3 linked regions of the Saccharomyces cerevisiae S288C genome follow. The protein of the gene in region 3 binds, or shares a complex with, the protein of the main gene of each other region. Each region holds a gene or a part of one and is shown on either strand. Other genes may lie near its edges. The genes, in order: TIM54, TIM18 and TIM22. A codon is read from its position in the direction of its gene.

Evidence for each region.
Region 1: TIM22 (region 3) and TIM54 share a complex: the UniProt entries of both Saccharomyces cerevisiae proteins name them as parts of the TIM22 complex.
Region 2: the proteins of TIM22 (region 3) and TIM18 are in contact, whole or in part, in a cryo-EM structure (PDB 6LO8), measured with the Saccharomyces cerevisiae proteins. Residues at the interface, in NP_010064.1 of Saccharomyces cerevisiae: Ser145 (codon at 2,498), Leu146 (codon at 2,495), Arg147 (codon at 2,492), Tyr168 (codon at 2,429), Lys169 (codon at 2,426), Ala170 (codon at 2,423), Gly171 (codon at 2,420), Pro172 (codon at 2,417), Ala175 (codon at 2,408); in NP_014940.4 of Saccharomyces cerevisiae: Ser76 (codon at 2,083), Tyr77 (codon at 2,086), Asp80 (codon at 2,095), Tyr81 (codon at 2,098), Ile84 (codon at 2,107), Leu109 (codon at 2,182), Tyr124 (codon at 2,227), Tyr162 (codon at 2,341), Glu165 (codon at 2,350), Thr166 (codon at 2,353).

What each region holds. Positions count from the first base shown.
Region 1 is NC_001142.9:329,510-335,864, reverse strand, and holds TIM54 (Tim22-complex subunit TIM54), read right to left. Parts: upstream 1,601-6,355; coding exon 164-1,600; downstream 1-163. Other genes in the region: LOG1 (Log1p), read right to left, coding at 1,771-2,508; ZAP1 (Zap1p), read left to right, coding at 2,792-5,434; protein kinase IKS1, read left to right, coding at 5,744-6,355. UniProt on the Saccharomyces cerevisiae protein: Essential component of the TIM22 complex, a complex that mediates the import and insertion of multi-pass transmembrane proteins into the mitochondrial inner membrane.
Region 2 is NC_001147.6:871,488-877,178, reverse strand, and holds TIM18 (Tim18p), read left to right. Parts: upstream 1-1,857; coding exon 1,858-2,436; downstream 2,437-5,691. Other genes in the region: MUM3 (Mum3p), read right to left, coding at 141-1,580; YOR296W (uncharacterized protein), read right to left, coding at 3,108-5,691. UniProt on the Saccharomyces cerevisiae protein: Component of the TIM22 complex, a complex that mediates the import and insertion of multi-pass transmembrane proteins into the mitochondrial inner membrane.
Region 3 is NC_001136.10:65,677-71,555, forward strand, and holds TIM22 (translocation channel protein TIM22), read right to left. Parts: upstream 2,931-5,879; coding exon 2,307-2,930; downstream 1-2,306. Other genes in the region: DTD1 (D-tyrosyl-tRNA(Tyr) deacylase), read left to right, coding at 1-89; YDL218W (uncharacterized protein), read left to right, coding at 817-1,770; COP9 signalosome catalytic subunit RRI1, read right to left, coding at 3,321-4,643; GDH2 (glutamate dehydrogenase (NAD(+))), read right to left, coding at 4,964-5,879. UniProt on the Saccharomyces cerevisiae protein: Essential core component of the TIM22 complex, a complex that mediates the import and insertion of multi-pass transmembrane proteins, such as mitochondrial carrier family members, into the mitochondrial inner membrane.

The sequences.
Region 1 (6,355 bases), on a different chromosome or scaffold from region 3:
CAATGTACACATTTTATTATATTTACAGATTTTATATATATGTATATGTGTGCATATATAAAAACTATTTCAACATGAGTAAAGGGAAATCTTCGAAAAGGGTTTGGTATATGTCAGACATAACGTCGATCGTGCATGATGATAAAACATAATATATATCCAATTAAATATCTGATTCTGGCTCTTCCTTGGGTGGTTTTTCGTAAACAAACATATGCTTCGTGATTCTAGGATCACATACTAATTCTTGGGTCCATTCGCTGTTCTTTTCTTTACCCTGTTTGACCCAGTTCTGTGGCCAATCTTTTTCTTCGTCCTTCGCCAAATCAATATCCTTTGCAATATCAAACGGTCTTATACGGGTTTGTCGAACACAGTTAACTACACTTGAACACACGTCCTCTACGTAGAAACGCTTCTGGTAAAAACGATGTATTCTCCTTGGAATGGTAGTAAAACCTATCAAGTTAGGTATTGGAATGACCAATAACGGCTGATTAATCAGAAGCGGGATATTTGTATTGGGGTTTCTTATGAATTCGCCATTTGGAGTTTGTAATTCCGAAGCGATTTGCAGGTCAGGGTATTGGTCTGAAGAAATAAATGGCTTCAAAAATTTTTGCGAATCCTCTGAGCTGTTTTCTTCATCAACCTTTAGATCATCTTGTACTTTGGCCTCTTCCAAAGCAGTCTCTTTCTCGGCATCCACCAGTTCCGTAGCACCGGATTCACTTACCTTTGATTCTATTTGATTTGCTTCTACAACCCCAGTCATCTTAGGCTCAGTGGATCCTGTTTTTTCGGTCTTCTCGATGGGTCCAAGCAAGCCTTCGTGAATACCGGCAATGTACTCCTTATAGGCGCCTCTACCTAAACAAATAACACCACCAGATAATATAGGGTCCTTTGTCAGGGCGTCTTCACTTATTATATGCTTCGGTTTTGGCATTGTATAGAAGATACCTATAACGTTTCTCCAGTCGAAGTTCTCCTTGAACTTTTTACCGATTTCTGGATCAAACGAGTCATCTTCTTCAGCAGGATCTTGAATGATTTTATTGAACGGTAGTAGTGATGAAATTTTACTGGTTGAAGAACCACTTGGTTTTGCTACCGTTTGGTTAGGCTCTTTAACTGGCTGCCCATCCGTCGATGCCAATATTTCCTTTCTCAATTCTCTGATTCTGTTGGCTACATTAGTTCTAATAATCCCTTGCCTATCCTCTTGAACTAATTCATAGTCCAACCCTGCATAATACAGTACAGGCTTAACATATCGTCTCCAAACTTTCAACGAACTCTCCAGATAATCATTTGGAGGAGGTGCAATAAAAACAGTGATCTTTCGTGGCACTTTGTCTACCTCCATGGACTCCTCTGCCAAAGGCTTCACCAAGTCTGTTGCATGGCTCAGAATCTGACGTTGCTTGTATTTGTCATAGGCTATGCCACCGATGGATACTGTTAACACAGACCAAAAGATCATCCAGTTTCGAGAAGGCAGCCTCAAGGCGGGTATACCAAGGGCTTTTAAAGCCGGATTGGTATAGCCAGGCTTCCTAATAGGCTTAGCAATAGGCTTTCCTGATTCAGAAGACATGGTCTATTGAGCTTCTTTTGAGAACAATGGACTTTAAAGCTATGATGTCTTTGCCATCAGTACTATTTTTTCCAGCCTTCGGGCTTAGAAAGACAGCTCCTAAAAATTTGGATTTTTCACCACATTATCTATACAGATCGTTTAAACTAGATACATGACTTACGTTTCTATTATTTAGCACAATCCTCGTGAGCGTGACCTTCGTCGCTCCAATTCAAATTGAAACGGCCCTCTGGAACGACGTACTTCTCTATTTTATCAACAACTTCCTGCGGAGTGGAGGCAACTTGAATGATTTCACCATTCTTCACACTGATGAACCGTTCTTGAATAGAGTGTTTGAGGAACTCCAATAATTTGTCATAGAACCCATCGATATTGAACAAGATAATTGGTTTATTATGAATCCCCAGTTGCGACCACGTGATACATTCCATGATTTCTTCAAAAGTCCCGTATCCACCAGGCATAGCAACAAACGCGTCACTCAAATTTGCCATCATTCTTTTTCTCGTATGCATATCTGGTACAATCGTTGTTTCCCCATACTCTTCAGAAATAGGAGTGGCGCCCTTATGATTTTCTACAGACTCCAACAATGCTTTATTAACATCTTCTTTATCCTCGTCTGTCCTTTCCTTAGACACAAGTGCATTTGGAATGATACCGTGAACCTGTCCGCTTAAATCAGGTCCCATCGTAGACCTTGCTATCTTGCCCATCAAACCAGTAGTGCCTCCACCGTATACCAATTTCCATCCCAGCTTATGGAAAAGGGCTCCTAATTCTTCTGCACTTTCTGAGTATAGCGCCTTAGCGCCAAATGAAGACCCGCAGTAAACACACACAGACTTGCCGCCTACTTGGCCACCACGGCTGCTATTACCTCCATTTTTTTCCATTGTCATCGCCGTTTCTTAGTACTGGATTGCCTGCGATTTACTCTAGGGATCTTCCTATTCAACTGTTGGAAATAATTCTCCTTCCTTAAACGCCCAAAACATGATTATATATCACTGCAGACGGAGTAGTTGACAGCAGTCATCTACCCTAAAGGTCATGATGAAACGTGCTTGGCAATATAAGATGCAACTGCAGTCACTGTGAATATAGGCCAGCGGCGAGACGGAAGCATTACACTTTTACTTTTTATGTGTTACGGTTTTTTAAATAGAAGAAGGATAGGAACTAATGGATGCGTTGACTCCCAGGGACTCCCCCAAGCGCGATGACTCGATGGCCACGAGTGCGGCCACTGCTGCTTCTGCCAAGCCTGATGCTCTGACGATAGGTAAAGAAGGCATTGTCCACGGGCACATCCATAACTACAACAACCTGACCTATATCCATGGTCACCTTCACCACAGCGCGCCTGTGAACGACAGTAGTGCTTCGGCAACACCTGCAGCCGCAGCTGTTGCTGATGCCGCTACTTCCGCATTTGCATCTGGAGCTAGCCATGATATGGGTGGTGATTGCCACGTCAATGAGAAATGCAAGGAGTACACCGACTGCCAACATTTCGAGTTCTTGAATTATCACAATAATCCGTCATTAACAAAATATAATGATACTGCAACGTATAATTCTAATAATCATTCTTTTGCAAACAATTTCCATTCGGTAGCTTCTGATCCGACAAGTCCCCAACAGAATTCTAAAAGCGACCTACCACGTAGAAAAGATTCTTGGTTTAACGACGATCTGATACTGCTGCCCTCTTCCAAGAAAAATAAACCGAACCCACCACCTGGATCCGATGATTGTTATTGTACGCCCAAGATTTTGGAAATATGTTGTGACGAAACTCATCCCAAAAGTGAGGCTAATATAAAACAAGGTGAATCTGATCAACCGACAAAGAAAGACATATCTGAGAACGGCAATGATGTTGCAATATTCACAGATGTAAAGAACGATCACTTGATGCCAAATTTTAACCTTCATGATCAGTACTGTAATAGTACCAATCACGACTCTCACAATCACAATAATACTGTACCAGATAGCTTTTCTCAGCTGATGTCTCACTTATCGGAGATTGATTGCGATTTGACCTGTGACACCCCATGCACGGCTAGCACGAGCGCGACTAGTGGTCACAAGTTTGTTCAAGATCATCAATCATCAAATAATGATGACGTTTTCCATAAATACTGCAAATTTTGTGAGGAGAGCACTGATAATCAACCTTGTTCTAAGCATATGCATTTAGAGTCAAAGCCACCTCAACTACCACCCAAATGTTCATCTTTACGAAAACCTACAAACACTTTGCAAGGTACAAATCATGCTTATCACGAACATATCTTAAATACTGATATGGATTTGAAGATTTTGGAAGATTTATGCAATATTTCTTCTTTGTATGAAGTACCGTTTGGAAAACACATTAACCACCACGACCACAATAATGCCGGTAACGGCTGCGATGGTTCGAGCACAGGAAATAATGAAAACGGTAACCAAACAATGAATCTTCTATTATCAAGCATTAATAGATGCAACCCTAAAAATAATCTTAATGGAAGCAATAACAATACGGCTGGAGCAACTTCAACTGATCATCAACACCATCACCATAGAATACAGTTTCATTCTCACAAACCAAATAGAAACAATATTGTGAACAATTCAGGGATTAGCGCGGCGAACACAACAGCCGATCTAACTAACAACGATTTAAATGACTTAATTTCAAGAGAGTATAGTTATGAAAGATTTAGAAATCAAAGTGAGCCCCCTTCGCTACCCAAAGTCACTCATCAGAATCAGAAAAATCGTAGATCTTGGCCTACAAAAGATCTAGAATCTACTGATTTCAGCTCTTTGGAAGACTCATTACCTTCTAGCATCTCTCCTCCTATACAGACAACAAGCACTATAAATTTCAACTGGTGTTTTAAAGAAGAGAAAAACAATGACTTAAAATGCAAATGGAAAGAATGTCCTGAGTCTTGTAGCTCACTATTTGACCTACAAAGACATCTTTTGAAGGATCATGTCTCTCAAGATTTCAAACACCCTATGGAACCATTAGCTTGTAATTGGGAGGACTGTGATTTCCTTGGAGATGATACATGTTCCATAGTGAACCATATTAATTGTCAACATGGTATCAATTTTGATATTCAATTTGCCAACCCAGACTCATTTTTGCCTGGTAGTATATCAAAGGAAAAACATCACTTACTACATTGCCCCAACCCACAAACACACGAAGTTTCTAAAGCAGATGGAGCACCTGATATGACGTCTGCAAATGATGTTTCCAATATACCGCCAATCAAGCAGCCGGAACAGGTGATTTGCCAATGGGATGGTTGCAATAAGTCATTTTCCAGTGCTCAGGAATTAAACGACCATTTAGAAGCAGTACATTTAACCCGGGGTAAGTCTGAATACCAATGCTTGTGGCATGACTGCCATCGTACGTTCCCCCAAAGACAAAAATTAATCCGTCATTTAAAAGTGCATTCGAAATACAAACCTTATAAGTGCAAGACATGTAAAAGGTGTTTTTCAAGCGAAGAAACTTTAGTTCAGCATACCAGGACACACTCTGGCGAAAAACCTTACAAATGTCACATTTGTAATAAAAAATTCGCGATTTCAAGTTCTTTGAAGATTCATATAAGAACCCATACTGGTGAAAAACCTTTACAATGCAAGATTTGTGGTAAGAGATTCAACGAATCGTCAAATTTGAGCAAACATATTAAGACCCATCAGAAAAAATACAAGTGCTCTGACTGTTCCAAAAGCTTTGACGATTTGGGAAAATTGAACTCACAGAAAGTGAAATGCGCATTGGAAAGAAAACCATATTTATAAATGTGATCATCATGGTCCAACGTAAGAAGGGCGGTTTTCAGGATCACATAAATGCATAATTAGAAACATTTCATATTTTACCTAGACTACTTTTTATTTATAATTTTTCGCAAACTCTTTTTTGTAAGCTTTTACAGTACACTTTTTTTACGTAATAACGTATTTCAAGCTTTATTTTTTGTATACGTTTCAGAAAAGGGGGTGGGGGGGAAGGACATTGTATATATAGATCCTATGAGTGACAACTAGGTAACCGAAGAAACACTATTAGATATATAGTTTGAGGGATAGCATAAGTAGAACTTAGAAATGAGTTTAGTACCATATGAAGAAGGTTCGCTGATTTTAGATGATCCTAATTCTAAATCAGTGGTGGTTGTTAATCCAACCTCAGGAACTTTATCATTTTTCCAACAGGACAACAGTAATAATGACTCTGAACTAAATGAAGACCAGACTGCATCTTTATCAGCACTGGACTTTCCTTCAGGGATTCATCAATACAAAAGCCCTATTGCTTCCTATGTGTGCCCGCAATGTGGTACGGAAATTAACCCTGATATTATAAACAGAAGACAACTTCATCGTCGAGCCTCTGCTGGAGTAGAATCAGAAAGCAGTAGGCTCAGTATTCCAGAGAACACTGTGCCACTTGGATTTGAATTTGCCAATTCAAGCTTTTCAAGAAGATATTTTCAGTCATTGGAAAGAAATCATCGGCACTACGCCCTACAAAACGATAGTAACAATAAGCAGGGACAGTTCAGCAAAAACAAATACTTTATTCCAGATGATTTGTTTATCCCCGGATACTTTCGTAAATTTTTCAAAATATTGTCTTTGCTGGGAAATGGTGCAAGAGGTTCTGTTTACAAAGTTGTACACACAATTGGTAATACTGAATTAGGTGTTTTTGCACTA
Region 2 (5,691 bases), on a different chromosome or scaffold from region 3:
AAGCATTCTTAATAATGTACATTATTCTATCATGATCGTTTTATGGTTTTTTTCGTTTATTTTATCATTTTTTTTTTTTTTTAGCTTTTTTTCCTCTATAGAAAGTGAAGTACACACGTATATATTATGATTCAGGATCTTTATTTGGTCTCAATTTTAATATTTTTTTGCAAGGACTCGATTAATCTATCTTTTTCTATCCACCTATTTTCAAGCCACTTTTCTAAACTCTCATCATTGTATGCGAGTAATGGTTGAATTTGATGCTTTTTTACATTTACCATCACAACAATGGGGTCCTTATCCTTTATGTTGTTTTCAGACTCCATTTCTGGTTGAATCATCTCAAAGATTGTCGGAGATATTTGCTCTAATTGATAACCTTTATGAAGTCTCAAATCTCCGTTGGTATGATCATGCCCACTATCAGTATATTTGACTCGGTAATAAATTATGGTGACATCATATATGTATGGATTGATTCGTACCACCTTGGGCTTGCCGCTGCTGATTTCTTCCTTTTTTGTAAGTAAGTATGAATTATCTACGATCATGGGCGGCGTCGTCTTATCGGATACCTTGGAAGACTCCATTTTCATGCTCTTGTGAACTAATTTGTCAAGTTCTCTGTGAAACAGGTATCGGGCCTCTTTGATTATATTGTTACGGTTTTTCTTTCTTTTGATGTTTTTAATTGATGAAAAAGCAGCCATCAAAGTGGTAAAGTTTTTAAATCTTGGGTATAATAAATTATAGAAGTTTATAACAAAGGGAAAATCTTGGTGTAATTTTCTTTGAATAATTGATAGTTCCAAACTCATGATATTGACTTCGGGAAAAATAGTAATAGCTTGATTGTTTTGTCTTTCTAAAATATCTCTTAACTCATTCGATGAGAGTGCGAGTGTTTCATCTTTGAAGAATATGTTCTTTAGTAGATCCAATCGAGGAAAGTTAAACATTTTTCCCCAACCAAGAAATTTTAACTGAGGCCATTCAGCTAGATCTTCCCCCTTCCTCAGCTTTTGTAGAAATTCCCATTTAGTATAAAACTTGGTGGGACAACTTTTGAGAAAAAGGTAATTAATCAATGTGTAGTCATTCACTGATCGATGATTACATATCATTAATGTGGTTTGGAATTTGCTATCTTTAAAAAAGTTTAGGTCATCACTTCCCTCGGTTATGAAAATTTGGACGTTTTTTTTTTTTTCGAAGGTCATTTCAACTAAATGTAGCTGAAACCAAATTTCAATCGCCTCCAGCACCTTGTCTAAAGTTGGTATTATTTTCAGTTTACTATATGTCAGTGCCCTCGAGAGCAGCCGAATTTTGTACTCACCTATTATGGGCACATGCGACCAAAATCTGTCATATAGTAAATGCAGTCTAAGACAGAAGGAATTCGTGTTAATGAACTGTAGGAATTGATTGATTGCAGTAAAAAAAGAATGAAGGTAAAAATAGCCAAAAAGAATAAGCAACCTTGGGGTCAGACTCAACCAATCAGAAATATCTAACTGTTTGAACTGGACCCTAGAACCGACCATATATGTTTCGAAGAAATCAACAAAACCCATCTTAAAGTTATACCTTTCGTTTAGTTTTCTGTGTGGAAAAGAGAAATTTTATTTGATTAAGATTAACAATGAATCTATTATGGTGCATATCTTGCCCTGTTAACTTTCAATTTTTCATTTTGTGTCGCTACATGCCTTGTTGACACTCGGTTTTTTTGAAAAACAAACCATTCTCGCAAAAGATCGGATAAAAATGAAAACTTCCAGACAGTGGAATGCACACATTAATTAACGGTGATGCGAGGTGCAACAACTGAGTAATTTAATACCTTTGGTAATGCTATTGTTTCCTGGCTTGAAGCCTGTTCTTAATGCTTCCACTGTCATTGTAAATCCTGTACGAGCTGTTTTTCCAGGATTAGTACTTTCAACCAAAAGATCCTTTTATAGCATTAATCGTTTAAATGCTGAAAATAAAATAAACGATATTGCAAATACGTCAAAAGAGGCATCCTCTTCAGTGCAGATGTTTAAGCCCCCAGAGTTCTCTCAATTTAAGGACTCTTATCAAAAAGACTATGAGAGAATAGCAAAATATACTTTGATTCCATTAACAATGGTACCTTTTTATGCCTCCTTTACCGGCGGGGTTATAAATCCTTTACTCGATGCGTCTTTATCGTCCATTTTTTTGATATATTTACAGTATGGCTTCACAAGTTGTATTATTGACTATATACCGAAGGAAAAGTATCCAAGATGGCATAAGCTCGCCCTTTATTGCCTCTATGGAGGATCCATGTTGTCCCTGTACGGTATCTACGAATTGGAAACGAAAAATAATGGTTTTGTTGACCTGGTAAAGAAACTTTGGAATGAAAATGATGACCATTTGTATATATTTGGAAGAAACTGACTCACCCATACTTTTTCTTTTTTTTTGCATTTCTAAGATTTCATTTTTAGAGTCAGATTCCCCATGAACTTAACTTAGGAGAGATTTTATAAAAAGACAAATAAGCAATAAAATATATCCTTCTTCTCGAAATCCAGATATATATGTATATATCGATCTGCTTGGATTGGTACAAGACGATCAATTCTTGTCGAGTGAAACGCCTAGGGATACAGAAAGGAAAAGTAGGAATTCGTGATTGCTAGTATTCTCATTCTGTCTAAAGTGCCTTTTTTATTATTATCTGTATGCTTTTTGTTTCTTTAATGATGAGGAACGAATTTTTATACTACAAAAAAATAATGTTTACAATTTTTATCAATGTATTGAAACATTTTAATATTTGTTAGGATTCGCCTTTATTTCACAATCAAAAGGAAACACATAAAAAAAGTGTCATGCTCTACGTGAATAAAGAATTAGTGAAATAATAATAAGGCAATCAGAATACAACTATCGCACTATCTGCGAAACTTTTTACTATATGGGTATAAATGCTAAACGGAAAACTTGTCCATAAAACTATGATTCTTATAATAAACGATGATACACGTTCATTCATTTTTTATCGACGCTCAAATATAGGGTGGAACTGTTTAGTCAGCACCCCATGTATATATATAAAAGAGACTTCAGTTTCTGCCCTTTTTTCCTGTAGGAGTGACCGCTCTACTCACCGCTCTTCTATTTTTCATAGTATTAACAAGTTCTTTTCTGTCATGTAAAATTCGATGAACGTAATCATGTTGGCCTTTCGCGATCAATATTCTCAATATAATATTCATTACTTCTGCATCACGTTCCAGTTGTTCCTTAGGCTCTTTTACAATGTTAGCTACTAGCGACTTTTTTCGAGATATTGTTCCAGCGGATTTATTCGTAAAAGTAATCGGAGTTTTCTTCAGATAAAACCATCTCAAATACTCTTCATATAGGGGAATCAATCGCTGAACTTCATCCTTCAATTCGGAGACACTTTTATCATAAAAAGCTGGGATCAGCAATATATTTTGGTAATACTCATTTTTCAATTCTGCAAGAGGGGGACCTTCTCCTTTATTATGAAAAAAATCTACACACAGCGCATCAAGCCATTTGAATACAGCCTCGATTTCCGCTTGAGTCAAAGGACGACCGTATCCTGATACCGTTTTTGTGGTTGAAAGAGTATTTTCCCACAAAGATTTCTTTGCTGAACGCAATATATTAACTTTAGCGCTATTCAATGCAGGTAGAAGAAGTAAATCAGCGTTCTCTAAAACGAGGTTCCACGCTCTTAGCATTACCATAAACAACAATCTCTGTGAAAGTTCTGATGCCAGAATGTTCAAATTTGCGTTTAAATAGTCAAATAGTGGTAAAATTGCGTCATATACTGCTTCGTCAGACGCAAGTGCAGAACCATGGTGACCACACACTGTTTTTAATGTGGTTCTCGAGAAGGCAAATGCAATAAAATCAGAAAATTTGTTGACTATTAGGTTTATTGCACGATCTCTTGACCTGCTAAAAGATCTATATATTCTTCCCATAGAAGAAACGGCATCTATTTTCTCACTTTCCAGGGATATTTGGCAATATAAAGTTCCCTGCGGATTCAATGTGAGCGAAAAATCGATAGGAAACCCATCATCCTTGAGCTTTCTCGGAGTGAATTTCATATTGGCTTTTCCACATAGATCATCTTCCGCTAAATTCTTTAATCTGCTGTGTGGGTGGTGCCATATAGTAAACATAATATCGTTCGACTTTCCGAATGGAGACTCAAACACAAACTCTTCGTCCCATTTGGGAGTAATCGATCTTGCAACAATCTTAGTAGTACCTATTTCCCGTTGTAAAGTGATGTTTCTCATGGAAACGTAGGTGTTTGAAAGCCCCGTTTTGCTGAAGCCTTTAATATTTTCAGCACCGATAATTCGAAGGGTATAAACTTGCTTCATATTCTGGTCATCGAATGACTTCCCATTATCCTCTAAATTATGGGAGGAGTGGTACTGTGCAATAACAGAGGATATTTTTGATGGATCTGCTTTTTCTTCGAAGCTCTCTAACAGAAAAAGTGTTTTATCAAGATCATTTAGCAGTACGCACGTACGCTTCTTGAACTGATATGGAGCAGGAGCTACCATCTTCGGAGTTGATTTAACTACATTTTTCAAATCTTCAAACAGCCTACTACTTCTTGATTTTTCATGATTTACGTTAGCGTTATTCAGGCTAAGTGAAGATCGAGTGTCTGAGCTTTCTAAAGAGTAGGATGGTTCATCACCCTCCTGTAAATCTCTCTGGATCAATTCCATTAGTTGAGCTGAGTATGAAAGCATACCATCTGAAAACGCCTTTAATATTACCGTGATCATTTGTGCCAGTTGAAATTCATTTTGCCAACCAAATTTCTCCAACATGCTAGTTGATTCATTTATCATTTTGAATATGTCCAAAACTGATCTACTGAAATGGTCCTGGTCATTTACGGGTTGCCAATTCTCGCTTTCTAGTGAAGATTTAATAACTTTTTGAACATTACGGCTCACATCATCACATAATCGAGTCAAATATTTGATGAAATAATTTTCAAGGTTAAAGAAAAATTTCCCTTTTGGCTTTACCTGCAGGTAAATCTGTCTCAGTTCTTTCAGTACATCATACATATCTAGCGCATCTATTGGACCCAACTTTTGTCCAGTCATTTTCATGGTACTCTTTTCAGCGGTTTTTATTAGATTTAAAGAATCCGAACCGTATACTTCACATAGAAATACTGCGCATTGTCTAGGCAGAGATATTTCGTCCAATAAAGGTTTATTGTAACGTTTTTGAATCGCTTTTATGGCTTCTATAATTGTTTCTACGAGATTCTGAACGTTTTGAATTTCTATTGCGTTAGCCTTTAGCATATCCTGCAGAAGGGAGACAAAATAATCCTCTGATGCTTTAAAAAGAGTCTTCTTAAATAATTTGATCCAGTATTTCTTTACAGCTACGGACTGCGTTTCATAGAATTCCATTACTGGATCCCCAACAATGTTTGAATAATAAAATGACAAAACTGGAGAAAATTTTGGCTTTGTACCTGAAAATATCGCAGTTAAAAGGTTATTTATTGTCCTCATAGACTGATCAGTCGTATGAAAAAGGTTTGCAGCCCATAAATAGCGATCCTGAGCATTCCAAGCGGATGGATCCAGATTATCCTCTGAACATAAATATTTA
Region 3 (5,879 bases):
AAGTAAAGGATGGTGAATTCGGCGCAATGATGAGTTGCTCTTTAACTAATGAAGGGCCCGTTACAATCATTCTTGACAGTGACCAATAAGATTGACCTTATAGATATATACGAGAAGAAAATAAAAAGCAAACATTATTTGCAATCTTTCTTTCGCAAGATAAAGTACCAAAATCTTTCCATGTTATGTTCTCAGTGAAGTTGAGTAGAGCGGAGAGGAGCCCTCCCCAAAAAAATGAATACAAAATATCTGTGATGGATTTTTGAATTCACGCTTCCTTCAATAACCTTCGCCAAGAAAGTCTAGAATTGTTTTATATTCTTTACATAAAAGTAAGTAAATCAACTTTAAAAAACTTTAAGGGCGAAAATGAAAAAAAAAAAATGTAAAAGTGAAAAAAGGGACGGCGAAGCGATGCCCTGCCAGTCTTACTAATCCAGAGGGCTAAAAGCATGTTTACAGTGTATTTCCAGTCATAGGAGAGTATTGACCTGGCATGGAAAAAGAAACGCACAATGAGAAAGGGGATATATACCCTTAAATTGACGATAGTTAAGGAGATTTTGAGGTTTGTGTTACTAATAAACCAGTAAGCATACTCGTTGATGACTTTAACGTATATTTGGTTTCCAAGGGATATTGAAACCGTATCTTAAGGGATGACGATGGTTGGTTAACATTCCCTAAAAGACAACGTATAAAAAGGTTCAACAAAGCGTCCGTTACCATTATGCTTTGATGTTCTCAGTACGAAAGTTTACGGTTTTTTTTTTCAATTGAGGAACATAAACCAAATAGATATATTATATCAACGTTATGAAACGAGTTACTGGAGTTTTCTTAACACTTTTGAGATTTTCTCAATTTGCATCATCGGTTTTGGTGATGTCACTTTTGGCGTATGCCATCCACGCCTATGGAAATAGAGGTAATAAGAAAACCAACTTCACATTGGCAACAGGTGTCATTAGTGTGTTTTATCTGATTGCCTTAGGTATTTTGTGTCTGGCCCTACCCACATTGATCTACATAGGAATGTACTTCTGTGCCGAATTGATCGTTTGTATGCTATGGCTAGCAGCTTTCGTTGTTCTTGCCAAAGCTCAAGGTGAACGTAGCTGTAGCAACACTAATGCAGACGGATTATACTATAATCCGTACAGTGGCCAATATACTGCTGACAGTCATAGAAGAGCATGTAATTCTTCTCAGGCGGCAATCGCCTTTTCTGGCCTTTGCTTTGTACTGTTTTTGATCAGTGTGATATTACTGGGAATTAATGTCTTAACACCTATCAGGAAGCGTTATCAAACCCAAGGAATGTGGAGAAGCGGCGCTTCTATGGGTACAAAGCTCCATAGGTGGAGCGGACTAGCTTTAAGCGAGCCTTTTGAAGAAACAGCTGCTTACGATAACACCAATGTTAGGACCGGTGATGTCGAAGCAGGTGCAGGTGATAATGCTGCTTACACATCTGAACCGAATGGCGACGCACGCTATGCAACTAATGACCCCAATGGGCAGTACCATACTACCACCACCAACACACGTTACACCACAACAACAGCGGACCCTAAGACGCGTTACACCACCAACGATCGTAATCCTGGTTCTGCGAATGTCGCTAACAGTGCAGTGGACCAGCACGCTTACTCTACGGATGAGTCAGGTGATCGGTCTTATCAAGAAAAGGTCACAGAAGGAGCTCACTCTGGCGCTATGAGTGGTAGCACTGCAGAACCAAACAGGAACGTCAATCAAATGCCATAAATTCAATGATTTCCTTTTTGTTCGTCTATACCCTTCACATACTTTTTCTTTTTCTTTTTCTTTTCTTTGCTTAACGATTTGAATTGCTCCTGTTCTAATAATGGCGTCGTCTTTTAGAAAATCCTTATCAGGTGTGAATAATGCTTAATTTTTTTTATATATAATGATTTACTTTTATTACTTCTTATTTTTATATTTTCCTCTGTCAAATATGTGACTGAAATCTTCCAATTTATTAATATTAAAGTGTGACTATCACTTGAGTTTAGCGACAGTCTCTAACGCCTCGAATTCATCGACATGGGAAAATTGGAAAGGGTATCGTTTTTACACTTCCCATTTTCTTCCAGCAAAAATGATCGGCCCAGAGTCTAGTTAAAGCATGATTAATTCTCCCAGGGAATTTTTTTGCTTTACTAGTAACAGTAGTTCTGGAAATTATTAAGCGTTCTTAAATTCTGGGACGGTCGTGCAGAATATTAAGATAGGTGATATTTACAAATATAAAACATTCATCGTTCGTCGAAATTGGCTATTCATTCTTTAAAATCGTTTTGAGGTGGTCTACCATCCTCACTTTTCATATACAAATCAATTGCAGCTGAAAAGGCAGCAAACCCGGCACCACCCATTAAGGCAGCTTGTGGTCCAGCTTTGTATGCCAGCCCAGCACCGGTAAAAAACCCTGCGGTTACTCCGTTGTAAATATCATTTTTAGCTCTAAGTGACTCTATGACACACTCCACCCCAGCATATATCATACCAATGTAGCCAAAATTCTTAGCACTAGAGTAGGATTTTTTACCCATATCGGTAAATTGAAGTTTCATTTGCTGCCGGAAAGGTAAATCAGATATTTGCTGAACTGTTCTTGATATTCCACCCACACCTATATTTCCCGCAGTTGCAGTTGCTGCTGTATTTGCAGGTGTAGGTGTATGAAGAGGTGTATCATATGCCATTGACGCCATGAACAGGCCTAAAACACCACCCAGTGCAAACCCTGTTACACCACTCACAACTGATTTTCCAGGACAGGAAGTCATGAAGTTCATGATCATTTCAGCACCCCGTTCACCCTGTTCTTCCGGAGTTAGTTCATTATAAGGTTTCTTTTGAGCTGGACTTATCTGCTCCAAACCAAATCCTGTGTACACCATCTTCGTATAAAGTATTTAAAATCACAATTTCTTGATCTTATTTGGCAGCTATCTCTACTATCCCGTTTAGTACTATCCCGTTTAGTAGTGACAGAAAAATAGTATTTTGTCCTGAAAAGCTTCGGATTTTATATGTACGAAATGGATCCGAGGAAATGCTGTCTGTTTTATTAGAGAATTAAGTTGACTGATGCATCGTCTTTCTCTTCAGTTGTAAGCTCGATGCCATTTTATCAGTAAGACCAAAAACCAACACATAACGGCGTACGAAAATATCAAATTGTCACCCGGTATAGATATACTTATAGAGATTCAAGAAGGAATAACTATTAAAAGTACGTTGCAGATAAACATAAGCTATTGCAGCGTCATTGGAGCAACGTTAGGAATTCATAATGTAAAGGTGTCCTTGTAAAAACGTAACCGCTCATATTGTTTTATCTTTGACGCAAGTATTCGATTTTTTGCTCTTGCATAATCTGTCTCCAAGACATTTCTCTGTAACATATCATTGCCCTCATCATGACATCTTTCCTGATTGCTGTTCATGCGTTTTTTAGAATTGTGAAAATTGTCGGTAGACCTGCTGCTTCTTTCCACGCGATTTACATGAATGCTCGGTTCGCCGTTTATGCACAGACTAGTGTCAGTACTGTCGAACTCGGTAAGGTTTCTATCTTCCATATCTACGTCACTAGTATTATCACCTGAAAACATGCTTCCAAAGGAGCTTGTTTCAGTGCTATCCCCCCTTTGCGTATTGAGGCAGAACTGAGACCTTGTTGAACGGTTTTGATAGTCAATGTTTTTTTTATTTTCGTTGCTAACACGTTCACTGGTAGTAGCCAACTTAATCCTTGTTCTAACATTTTTGGAATCCATCAAATAGCTATACTGCTTCATTGAATCGATCAATCTATTTAATGATATTTGTTCTGACTCATCATCCTCTATTACGCAATGTAAGTTTAACTTTGTTTCAAATAGCGCTCGGTTCAATTCTGAATCAAATATGATTGTTTCTAGTTCATAGTATGAAGTGGCACTATTATCATCACTTTTACTTTCTATTGTCCTAAATGCACCCATTCTTAAAATTTTATCTTCCAGACTTTTCAAGGGATCGACCACAATTGCGACATATGGATCTTGGAATCTCTGGTTCAAATCCTGGGTTTGGATATCTATATTACTTAACCAACAGTCGTAACCAGGATGTGAATGGAACCAGCCAACAACATTCAGTTTAGCGCCCTTGTAATCTCGCCCATCACCACCGTCATTATGATTATACATCTCGTCGATATATTGAACCATATATTCGTATGACTCCAATTGTGCATTTACGCGAGTTTCTGTCCCTACTACGGGAAGATTGAAACAATCCATTACAACAATATTATCTTTTAATGTGAACCCCATTAATATGCCCATGATTTCAATATTTCCTCCACGAACTGCATAATGGGTGATCTTTTCACATGATAATTTTGATATAAGTACGTGGGTGTAACTCGGAATATCTGTACTACTTTGTTGTTTTAGTTTAGTTTTGAGCAAGGAAGATTGGCTTAGCGCATGAAATTCAGGTTCTTGCGACGGCTTGAATCGCATACTTGATAGCGCTATAGATTCAGTTAGTTCATCTTCCACGGTGTACCTTTCCTTTAGTAGTTGTCGTAATTCCTTTACAGTCTTATTTGAAAGTGACATGCTGCCTCCTGCAGTTTTTATTGATTTTCGATCGTTGTTATTCATTTTTAGTTTATTTGAAAAACCCTTTAATAAGAGCGCTTCCTGCGTAGCGCGCCTTTCCTAAAGTTTCAGCTGAAGCATGGCTCCCTGAGGAGAACTGCCTAGTATAATGGATAACTCGAAGGAAAAAATATCAAATGCTTTTTTTAGATTAAAAATAATGGACATATAAACAACTTTACTTAGTACACAATAAAACGCTGAGAAGAACATACACATATGTTTAATTTTCTTTTCTGACGGCAGAACTAATTTATACAAAACAATTTTATTGAAGCTCAAGCACTTGCCTCCGCTTCTCTTTTTAACCCACCAATAAATTCCAAGAATTTTCCAATGTTAACATCGATACCGTTCTGGTAAACAAAAGTGCTTGATAAGTAACTCGACAGAAGAACTTTCAAATAGCTCTCTGGAATGTTTTCCAATACGGACTGAGGCCCAGCAACATCAATCAGAATTTTTGGAATTATTTTATCCAACAATAGGTAGTTTCTTAATTTTAGATCATTGAGCCACAACTCTTGAGAAGCAACTAGATCGTCGTTCAATTTGTTTATAGTGAAGGACAATTGGTTTGAAATTTCTGAAATGTGGGTTCCATTTAGTTGATTCAAATTCCATAACTGACCAAACTCTAATTCAGCATTTTTCTGAATTCTTGACTGCACTTCTACAACGTACGACTTGTACAACGCAGACCTCTCACCACTAACATCTCCAATAAATTTGTGCACGAAGTCGTTATCGTTAAGCGCTAGTGAGGCCAACACTTCCATTGATGAAGATGTGACACCACCTTTGTTTGCAGAAGCATCTTTGAACAGAATACAGCCATGTTCCTCCAAAGCATTTTTAGCAGGTTGCGTTATAAATAGATTGGCACCCTCCACAATATATGGAATTTTACATTTCCCAGTCTTTTCGTCAACAAAATAATGTAGATTATTTAGAGTAATTGAGTTTGGTCTACCACCGCATGGAACAAAAATGTCGACATGATCCACAAATTTGAAAATTTGAGTATGAAAGGTGTTTCTGAAGGTTGTGCCGTTAGCTACAATTGTACCATTTGGTAGCATGATATCCATTGCATCCACAGAAACAAAAAATCCGTTGTTTGATAATTTGGAAGTGTCGAAATCGGAAATCATTTTCCTTTCATGTGCCAAGCGGCATAATTCATCTTTATCT